Linked DNA regions of Arabidopsis thaliana. The protein of the gene in region 2 interacts with the protein of the main gene of each other region in a pairwise test. Each region holds a gene or a part of one and is shown on either strand. Other genes may lie near its edges. The genes, in order: EDA14, RCF3 and AT5G11090.

Region 1 (3,755 bases), on a different chromosome or scaffold from region 2:
TCTATAGGACCTATCCATTTTCCTGTTTTAAGAAAATAGAATACAATGACTATTGATTGTCCGTTTGATACCTTTGAAAACATCTAATTCATTTCAGATACATACTTTTTAATATCTTTCGGAATCTCTACTGTAGAGATATCACTTTTGCTTCTACCTTGTACCTCCAGTTCTCTAGCCTCCTCTCTGATAAAGGAACAACAGAGTTAAAAAAGAAGATTATAAGAAAACACAAACAATGTGGTACCGGTAATGTCTTTTAAATGTTAAGGTAAGGAGGATCAAATTTTGCAGTGTCCATATGACACATTCAAAATGAATGAGAAAATCACGAAAGCTACACCAAGTAAAGAAAGGACTAAAAGTTGGGATTAACCTGTCTTCTGCATAGTAAACATGTCTACGGCTTGACTGATCCCCAGTACATTGCAGCGATGCAGTCAGCTTGTCAATTTTCTACAAAAGATAAGAAGGAACAAAGAGAAAAACTGGATAAATATGATCGTAAGCAGAAAGCTCTTGGGGTGTGTATGAGGAAAGATAACTTACGTTTTTCTCACTCTGCCATTTTTGGAACACATATCCAATATCTTGAGTCTTCATAATCATAAGCTCTTCCGCAGAGTATTTATTTACCTCATCTCTGAAAACAATAACTTTGTCAAAATTTACAAACCAAGAAGAAAACGAGAAACCATGAGAATAGCAAAAGAGATAATAGTGAAAAGCAAAAAGAAGAAAACGAAGAGTTTCGATATGCTTACTTTGGTCTATGACGTCCATCAACTGTTTTACTATTAATCATCTTAAAGTTGAATTCATCTGGATTCTTGAATGCAGCCTTCTGCCTAAGTATCTGCAGTAAAGTAAAACGGTGTAAGAGAAACTGAACTCCCAACGATTTAGTTTCTTAGCTATCTCACAGATATCATCAATCAATCCCGTAAACTAACAAATGTCTACTTGAAAGACTTTATTAACATAATCTCGACAGTATAATCATAGGAGAGATGGAATTGAAAACAGAGAGTGTAATAGTTACCTTTAAAGTTTCCTGCTTTTTGTGATAAGCATTAGCTCGGATAATATAATCCTTATGCTTCTCGAGGATGCCAAACCTCTTCCTCGCTTCCCTGATGATACGTTTAAAAATCCAAACTTTAAGAAGAGAAACGAAGAAAAGAACAAAAAGGACACCTGAGAGCAATAATAGCTTACGGTTGAGATCGCTCCTTATGAGCAGGCCGTGGAATAGCATTACGCAGCGACGACATGTTGGATTTGCTCTTGACGCTGCAATTTCAGTCACAAAACTGTTTAGAATTAAGAGAGCTTAAAGATGATCTTAAGCTACTCGAGCTCATCAACTTAACGAATTGAAACTGAAACCCTAATCTGAAGTATGAATCTAATCCAACAATGCAACATTCTCAAGTCTAAACCTAACTATGCATTCGAACAGACGAAACGAAAGAAAAAAAGAAGCCAAAGATTCTCACGTGAAATACAGGGGAACCCTAGAAATTAGACGACGCCGAGAAGAAAGGTGAAAAGTAGAAGTCGCCGGGAACACAACAAATTTCACCGATGACCTGAAACTTGGTTTCTGGAAAGGAGTAGAGAAGTCGGCGAGAAGAAGAGTTTAGGGTTTTTTGGGGATAAAGAAAACTCAAACCGAACCTTCTAGCTGAGACTAAGGGTTTAGTGGATACGTCGCAATTACTCATTTACCCTTTTTATCGTTTTAGTTGCTTTACTTGCAAATTATAGTTTCCACACATAAAATGTCTTAACGTCTTTAGATGAAAATTTCGTAATTAACTTTCCAAATGTGATGAGCATTGCACATCTACCGTTCCAAATTTCAATGTATCTTTGTACAATTTATTATTTGTTTGGGGTGTTTCATAAAGAGTGCCAAAATTTGGGGTAGAAATTATAAAACTAACGAAACAATGCATTGCTTTAACTTGACAAACGCACAGATACAGAGAGACAGAAGATATCAAAAAGCTCCAAACGCTTAAAACGTGATCAACAAAGCAACAAAAGTAAACTACGATTATGAAAAAGGTCGAGACTTTACATGATCTTTATCTGTCTCTCTATGTAATTGTGCATCTCTACATGAAACCCACAAGATAAATGCCTAAGCAAAGAATAATTGTTCTTTTTGTTTCTTTGTAGTTCTCATCTGCCGTGCAGATTTAGAGTATTGAAGATTGAAGAATGCAGGTTCATTGAAGCTTAGTGATGACCATCATTTGGAAGTTAACTGCATGTGACATCTGAGTAGAAACCTATTATAGTCCTCCTCTCACAATTCTGGATACTGAGCAACTCCACGTCGAAAACTTCAAATTGCTTCGAGCTGAAGAAGGTCGAAGGTCCCACCTGGTTAGAGCCCAATGAACTTTGTTTTGTCAAAAATATGATCGAACCAAAGTGAAGACAGTTTTTACACAGTACAAGTCTAATCTACATTGGTTTAGATATGTCCCTAAACGAGCATGCTCAAGCTAGTAATTCCATTTGAAACATTGTTGATAGAGGGATGGTATATTCAACGGAATGGCTCAGCAAAAGTTTACCACTAGTCAGGTTTACAGTTCAGACAAGTGTATACTTGTAAGGAACAAGTAAGAACACTAACCGGAGGTCCCAATTCTGGAGGGATTATAATCCTTCTTCGCCCACCGGGCTTCATGTCACGAATTCCCATTTCAAATCCTGCATCATCATTATCCATATAGTATTAAAAATCTTCAATATGTGTTTCCTGTCAAAGAAGATTCTTCATTAACATCCTACTACTAAAGAGCCAAGTTAATGTCTTCTACTTGCCTGGAACAAGTGCATTGGTTCCCATGCGGATTCTAGCAGGAGAACCTTGTATGTAAGTACTATCTATTCGCCTTCCAGACTCATTGTAGCCAATGTAGTGAAAAGTCACCTGTCAAAATAACCATAAAACTCAATGATATCTTCAATTCTATATATCCAAGTAAAGAGCATACCAATTCCATAAATGATCTAACTTCAGATCCTAAGTTTAACTAATCTAACATAGAGGAAGTAGTACCTGCTGACCATCTTTTGGGAAATCACCTTGACCAACATTGAAATCCCGATATATGAGGCCAGAATCAGCCTTGATGTAATTATCAGAAGCTAATACCTTAACCTCAAAACCTGCACTATATCAGCAAAAACATAAACACAAACAAAAGGACAATAAGTTCTCATATTCTTCTTCCACTCAAGAATGAATAATACTCAAAGAAACAGTGAATAAAAGCTTAAACCTTCTCTAACAAAGTTAGGAAACTCGTCAGGAGCATTGTTCTCTCTCTGTATCCTCTTGTTCTGTTCTAGTAACCGTCTCTCATCATAAGGACTCTTTGATTTAGTCTTCGCAGATGAAGACAACGCTGGTAACAACAAACACGGCGAAGCAACTAAAACATAAACAAGACTTCTCCGACTCAAGCTGCAATTAAAAGACCAAGCTTTATCTCCAGAATCAAACCAAAAAAAGGAAAAAAAATTATCTCTCAAGATTGCAAATTTTACCATTGGTCTTTTGGTTCTTCACTCAATGAACAACATACCGAGCGATTGCTCCGAGATAATGACAGTTTTGTTTCACCTATAAGATTTTATGGAACAGTTTTGGTCACTTAACTAGTCTTATGGAACCAGCTTACTGAATCGTAAGATCAATAAGAGTTTTGAGAGATAGAGGGAAGAACTCA
Region 2 (3,755 bases):
TCCCCAACAACCCGAACAATCTTGTCAGCTGGGCAGAGAATCTGGAACACAAGCTCTTCGGAGTAGACATTCTCACCAACTGGAACTGCTGGAGCTTCTTCTGCATAGTTGGACTGGCGAGAACTGAAGTTGTTATTTCTAAAATTACCACGAGGAAACCTATCGGATGATTGTCTTCTTAGCTGTGGCATGTAATCATCCCCCGCAGCTGCAAACGACCGTTCTGGTGAATGTGAACGCCCTTGGAAATTACTCCGATCACGATGCTGACTCTCCCTTAGACGAGATGATACAATGGCTAAAGCGTTTTTCACTGCATTTAGTTCACCTACAATCTGAAAGAACCAACATTATAAATGCATTTCCCATAGGTAGAAAACACCAAAGAAAGCTTAAACATAACAAATAATGACCAAGCTAACTACATAAGAGTGATTCAACTCTTGTCAACAACCTCAACCTCACAATCACACATTTAAATTATCTAGCATTTCAATAAACTGACTACATTTCATATCAAAATCTCAACAAGATTCACCATTTCAAATATGTTCTCAAAATAGCAATTTTTCAGACCTGAACAATCTCTTCAGAGAGTGAAACACAACGAGGTAAGTTACTTTCTCTTGGAAGAATCCGAATATGAGTCTTAGTTTCAATCCTCATCTGCTCAATAATCTTCCCACCTTTACCCAACAAACAACCAACATGCATCCTAGAAACCACTAATCTAGTCACAACTCTCCCTCCACCAGGTCTAACTCCACCGTAATCCTCCTCCTCTTCCGGCGGAGGTCCACCATAACCAAACTGAGCTTCACTCTCCAAAATCCTGTCATGAACACTAAACAAAGCCTCTTGAGCAGGAGAGAAAGACGGCATTCTCCCATCAGGGTCACGCCTACGATTATCAGAAATCTCAATGATACGCTCTGCATCTCCAGGAACTAGCTCGTGCACGTTAATCCACGCGCCGGTGTGTTGCCTTATAGATTTGATAATTGTCCCGGATTTACCAATAACACCTCCTGCTTTAGCGTCGTGACAGAGGATTCGATAAGTCGTTGTTGCCATCGTTTCAGGATGAGACTTCGATGGCCGGCCATTTCCACCTCCACCACCGCCGCCGCCACGGTATCTGTTATTTCCTCCGCCGCCACCACCAAAGTGGTAATTATTGTTGTAGCGAGGTTTAGACCTAGGCATGGAATCTCCGTCATAGTCTTGGTCATAGTGGTAGTTTCTCTTGGATCTAGATCTCTCCATTTGAATAAAATCGCAAACCCAGAAATCAAAGTTCAAATCTTTAACTAGTCATTTATCAATCTCGCAGCAAATTTTTCGAATTCGAGGGTTTTCTGAAGGATTAGAAAGTTCACAAGCCCTAGAAGGAAGTCTACAGTACCCAATTACTTTCCTTTTTACCGGAAATTGAAAAAGGAAGGAACTTTCCGGTCAATTTCACAGGAATACTTGGAGGGAGAATTCAAGAATGTCCAAAATCGATGGAGGCGAATCGGTGCAATGCAAAAATCACCAGCTTTTTGTGTGTTTTGAGGGTTCTTTCCTGTGAATCTAAAAAGCCAAAGCTTTTTGAAGTTTGAGAGTAGAGAGAGACCGTGCAATGGGTGATGTTAGTGGCGTGCGCTAACTACGATATTAGCTACTCCCAAACGTTGTCGTTTTGGTCTCTTGGGAAATTTGGGTATGCTTCATCTTTAAAAACTCGTATTAAGCTAAATAAATTGTTAGACAAATGAATCGTCATCAGATTTTCGCATAGTTATTAGCACTGATGAAGATGAATTTTTGTGCTCACGTAACGTATTAGTAGATACTAAAAATGTATAAATAATTTTTTTCTAATAGGTAAAAATGATATGATTAATACGTAACCAATTAGATGATTTTTCGTGTTATGTACGAGACTAAAACTGTAGACACGTATGTGTTTTTTTCTAATTTAATTTTTAACTATTTATTAACCGCGGTATTATGTAATTAAGTACATATACTAAAACTGTTTTTGGAAAACAAAAAATCCTTTTAATATTTACCAGGTAAAGTATAATTGGTTTAGTGTTAAAGTTTAGCATATGGTAAAAATCATTTGGTGCATCTAAGTATTGCATCCGTTGAATACCATTTTCATCACCAATCCGTAAGGACAAAAAACGATTTACTATCCCTTTTCAGCAATTTAATTTGTATTGCTTCATTGACAAAATTAATTTTTCAAGAGTTTAAAAATAAAGAAACCAAACTCTCATTGCACTTTAAGTCTTTAACTAAATGATCACTTTTGATGAAAAAAAAAACTAAGGATCAGTTCACAAAAACAAGCAATAACAAATTAACAATACAAGAAAATCGTCTCGCACTTATGGTCAAAGACTCAAAGCTTAAGTTGTTGGTGGATCGTTTCGTCTAAATTGTGAGCCTTGACGGGCATAAGTACTTTCCAAATGATAGGTCTTCCCAACAAATATTTTCCGTTTCAGGAGAAGGTATTGCGTTTTCAGGTTGTGCTACGACAAGATGGTGACCTAAACTATATATAATGAAAAAGCAGCCACGAAGTCATGGAGGTTTTATTATCACATGTCCTGGTGAACAATTATCTAGTGTCCAGCATAAAATGTCAGTAACGATCTTGCCTTGTTTTGTGTCTCGATCTGTCTTCTCCTGAAACCACACCAATATAATATAAAGCAACGCGGATCAAAATAGCAAAACATTATAAAGTTCAACAAATTGAACCGGAGATTAAAATAGTGTAGTGACTACTTCAACAAATGGTCTAAGTTGCTATTGTTTTAGGTTAATGCTCCACTTGTGTTCAGACCCATTATCGCTTCTCTTATATATGATGCATATGAATTCCATTGACGTAGTACTACTTCTACTTCTAGCGTTTTTCACGTGCTATATTTCTATACAACATAGTTTTCTCGTGTAAAAAATTTGACCGTTGACCTTTGTTAGATATTACCCGCCAATAAAATCCAGCCGACCAATCCTACGTGGCAGTCCTAACCTCCACCCAAAAAACCGAACCGAACCACACCACAGACCCAATCTCTCTCTCTTCCGATAGAAAAGTCCTTTCCTTTCTTCTCCTCTTCTCCTCTCCGGTTATTCAAAATCTGATCCCACCCAGATATCAGAGTTTGAGAACAAAAAAAGCGATGCCGTTTTGCGAGGTCGTGAAAGAAGATGTCGGCCCAGAGACGACGCTTAACAATGCCGCAATCAAAATCTTCTACAGAACGTACGGTCATGGTCCTATCAAAGCTCTTCTCATCATAGGTCTGTTGTAATCTCCATCTTTCCCATTTGATTAGTTTCCTTAGCAATTCCGAGCTTGATTTCAATTGGGTTTTTCTAATTTTGTTCAGGTTTAGCCGGAACCCATGAGTCATGGGGTCCTCAAATCATGGGATTGACGGGAACGGATAAACCCAACGACGATGATGACGACGACGGAGGAATTGTTTCCGATGATTCCGGCATCGAGGTTTGCGCTTTCGATAATCGTGGTATGGGTCGAAGCTCTGTGCCTACCCACAAATCTGAGTACACGTGAGCCAATTTCATTACTGAAGAACTTAAAATTCTCTGCTTTGTGTTCTTAATCTCGGTTTTAACAATTTCCTGTGAAATTGGTTTTGTTAGCTTCTTCACTCAATTTGGGTTTTGTTTTGGTACAGAACAACGATAATGGCAAATGATTCAATTAGTTTGTTGGATCATTT
Region 3 (3,755 bases), about 18 Mb from region 2:
TCAACTGTTTACAATCGTCGTACCCACCTAATCATATACTAATGTCTAATATTAGTTTTACTTTCTTTTAGTTTTTATCAGGTATAATACTATTTTAGTGGTATTAACGTTTGATAGGTGCTACTAAGAATTAATTACACACAAAATATGGATTCTGTCAAGACCAATTTAGACAAAATGTGAAACGAGTAGATCAGACCTTATTAATAATCTCAATCATAATTCTCTCTTAAATATTTAATCAAATTAGACAAAATATAGGTCGTTTCTGACCGTCAAACGTTTAATATCTGTAGAAACCGTGTTTAAAGGTTTAGTTGGTAAGAACTCTCTGAAATGTATCCATCAAATTCTTAAAATTGATATTCTGCACCAAAACTATTACTGGCAATAATCTGTCTAAGCATATTTTGTATTTTGCGGTTAAGGACGCATTGGAATAAGACATATATTATTACTATGGTTGAGTTCATCACCAAATTCCTTCTGCAGAGAAGCTGTTATACCTTTAAGATAGCATATAAATGTTCTAATACATCAGAATAGTGTTCGAGTCAGTAGTTCCATCAATTTGTAGGGACTCTTTAGGTCTAATATGAAACACAGTTGCATGGATCTCCTCCACCGTAACAACTTTATACCAAATGCTAGATTCGTTGTTGTTGTTACATTGCTTTTAAGCCCATTCAAGAGTTTGGCTAACTCACCAGTAGGTTTAAGGTGAAAAGTTGTTGAAATATGTTAAGTGTTACGTGTTGAGTAACTCTTGACTAATTATGATCATAATACGAAATTCTTAAAGTGTTACGAATTAACGATTGGCATTGCCTTCCAAAAAACTAGCTATATCAAGTCCTCTCTCTTTGGCCCTTTTTTATTTGGTAGTGAGCTGTTATTTCTTCTTCTAGCATTAAACCATCTTGAAAGGAAACAAACCAGCAAACGTAGGTACTTTTAATGATGGTGTCAGTTAGATCATAGATGTAACTTTATATGTTACCTTCATGTTATAAGATTTCTATATTGATGTTGTTGGGTATTAGCAACTAGTATTGATGAACCCAAAAAAAAAAAAAACTAATTTTGATATTTATTATAAAAAAATAATAATTAGTAATTAATATTTGATGTTAAGAGACTATATACGTAGACCAAAGGCATGTTTCAGACAAAAAAAAAACAAGAACAATAGAGTGCTAAATTTGATCAATGTAAGCTTTTAATATCTACTACAAAATCTAAAATTACTAAAAGTCATAAATCTTCAAATTGCTATTAAATTTATTTTATAAACCAAATTTAATTATTTAAAATATGTTTATAAAACTATTCAAAGTCTACCAAATAAATATGACACAAATCTTCAAATTGCTATTAAAATTATTTTATAAACCCAATATAAAGTCATATTTATTTGGTAGACTTTTGAATGGTTTGACATATGTGATTTTAGCTCACTAATTTATTAGTATTGAACTCTCTTACATTTATTAAAACTATTTTATGTTGGCAAAAATGTTTTACTCTAGAATACACTATACATAAGACTGATTTATTCGAAGCCTTCTTTAGATAGCCTAAATTTACACAAATGTTGTTAGATGCTAAACTTTTGTATAATCTTATTAATCTGAATCAATACCGTTACAGAACCATTGGGTTGTGACGATAAAACAAACAAAATAAAACCATTGGAAATGTAAATCCGGCTCTTGGCAAAACAACGGGCAATGGCAATTTACGTAATTATCTAAACTTTCTCTGGGTACTCTCCTACTTAAGAGCTGACATCTTTCTTAGTCATGACACGTGGCAGCTTTTTTAACTGCCCCCAAAAGCATTCCCTCTGATTTGTCATCTCAGCCGTTGGATCCGAACCCGATTCTTTTCGAAACGGCAAAACCGCCTCAAATTGAAAAACAAATTAGTAATTTATTTTGCTAACCATAGTTAAGTTTCATTAACCATGGTTAAATTTGACTAACCCGACATAGAAATACCTAAATTTCGAAAATGGTCAAAGTCTTTGAACGTATTTACATTTATTGCCATTGAACAAGCTTTTGCTATAAATTCGGTTCCTGAGACTCGCTAGGTTTGCCGAACCAACCTCCCTTAGGCACTTTCTACAGAGCAGCTAATCAAAAAAAAAAAAAAAAAACCTTGTTCTTCTCTTCTTCTTCCTCTCTCACAAATTTGACTTTCATAGAAGAAAAAAATGGTGACTACATCGTCACGAACCAAGTCAAACGGACCGGTGCTTCGTTCACAATCACCGTCAGGTCGATTTTGCGGTGGTTACTCAAGAGCCGTTCCGTCATCTTCTTCATCAGCTTTCGCTTCATCAACGAGTTCTAGCTTTTCATCTCCGTCGTCAGCTTTTTTCAGCAATCACCGTCATCACGAGAGCAATCACAGTCACCACCGATCTGCGTCACCGACTCGTGTGAATCTCTACACAGCGCAACCGATGTCTCAGTCGTTTCGTTACTCTCTCGATAGCAGATCTATATCTCCGACTAACAAATCGATCTCCGTTTCGAAGAATCAGCCACCGAGCCATAATCACAAGATCTCAAGGAGATGTATGTGTTCTCCGACGACGCATCCAGGATCTTTCAGATGCAGTCTACATAAGAACGTAGCGAATCCACATGGTCAAGGTACAGCTTCGTATACAACGAATGGATTGAATATGCGTCGATCTGCGATGACTAATTCGCTGGTGAGAATTGGTGGTGTTGAAGGAGAGTGGGTGAGAAGAGCTTTGACTACTTTGATTCGACCTTCTTCGCATCATCTGAAAAGACGAGCTGCTTATCAGCCACGTCCTAGTCGACTCTCAATCATGGCGAAAGCTGATGAGAATTGATTTTGATCTGGATTTTGGTTAATTCAGGTTTGTTTTGTTTGTTGTTCTTCTCTCTTTAAACGAAAACCACCACAGGATTTAGTAGATCCGGCGAAGAAGTCTTGTTATGAAGCTGAGGTCTGCGAAGAAGAATCATCCTCGAGAAATCGAGATTTTGTAAAAGGAAGAAACACACACCTATCATAATTTTTTTGTTGTTGGGTGAAAGAAGATGCTAGAATGCATTGTACATACGTTCTCTTTTTTACTGTTTTTGTTGCTCTCTCTTGCGTCTTTGTCGAACCCCAAAAAAAAAAAAATGTTCGGAGTCTCACCAAAAATTAGAGACCTAAAATCGAAAATCAAAGAACTGAATCTAATTTCTGTATTGAACAAAGTGAGATTTCTCATTCCTCACAATCAATTGTGTATGTGTTTGTCAGATTAGCGTTTTTTTTTTCGTGTCCCGTCAAGTCAACGTTCGTGTACTCCGTTGACCGGCGTTGTTTGCCATTATCCGTCGTCGTTTCTACCGTGAAGCGTTGCGTTAGTTTTCCAGGTATGCGTTATTCGTCGTGTCAGGTATGTTCCATTCGTTTTTTTTTTTTTTCCGTTTTATGTTACTTACATTTTTTTGTAGTTATATTTTCGTGGACATTTTGAATTTTGTTTTTGTTTTGCAGGTTGCGTTTGGTGATGGAGTTTGAACTACTTGACTAACAGGGACATGAAAATTCAGATGGAATTGAGAGAAAAACAAAATAAATTAGTAGAAAAATACATTAAAAACAAAAACAAAAGAGGTGGAAAAGGTCTTCACTTTCTGGACATATATAAAAAAACAACGAAAAATCTATGGAGGGAAAAACATGACTGAAGACAAAATTTACATAGGAGGGAAATG

What was found.
Region 1: the proteins of RCF3 (region 2) and EDA14 interact in a two-hybrid assay, tested with the Arabidopsis thaliana proteins (one large-scale study listed by BioGRID).
Region 3: the proteins of RCF3 (region 2) and AT5G11090 interact in a two-hybrid assay, tested with the Arabidopsis thaliana proteins (one large-scale study listed by BioGRID).

Annotation. Positions count from the first base shown.
Region 1 is NC_003074.8:22,312,729-22,316,483, forward strand, and holds the start of EDA14 (embryo sac development arrest 14), read right to left. Parts: upstream 1,700-3,755; 5' UTR 1,500-1,699; intron 1,294-1,499; 5' UTR 1,275-1,293; coding exon 1,219-1,274; intron 1,134-1,218; coding exon 1,043-1,133; intron 857-1,042; coding exon 765-856; intron 644-764; coding exon 550-643; intron 457-549; coding exon 377-456; intron 187-376; coding exon 106-186; intron 23-105; coding exon 1-22. Other genes in the region: AT3G60370 (FKBP-like peptidyl-prolyl cis-trans isomerase family protein), read right to left, coding at 2,272-2,394, 2,654-2,730, 2,845-2,953, 3,083-3,192, 3,306-3,490, 3,574-3,649.
Region 2 is NC_003076.8:21,512,866-21,516,620, reverse strand, and holds the start of RCF3 (RNA-binding KH domain-containing protein), read right to left. Parts: upstream 1,726-3,755; 5' UTR 1,267-1,725; coding exon 577-1,266; intron 336-576; coding exon 1-335. Other genes in the region: AT5G53050 (alpha/beta-Hydrolases superfamily protein), read left to right, coding at 3,189-3,309, 3,399-3,582, 3,711-3,755. UniProt on the Arabidopsis thaliana protein: Acts as a negative regulator of osmotic stress-induced gene expression. Involved in the regulation of thermotolerance responses under heat stress. Functions as an upstream regulator of heat stress transcription factor (HSF) genes.
Region 3 is NC_003076.8:3,522,578-3,526,332, forward strand, and holds AT5G11090 (serine-rich protein-like protein), read left to right. Parts: upstream 1-2,099; 5' UTR 2,100-2,218; coding exon 2,219-2,872; 3' UTR 2,873-3,269; downstream 3,270-3,755.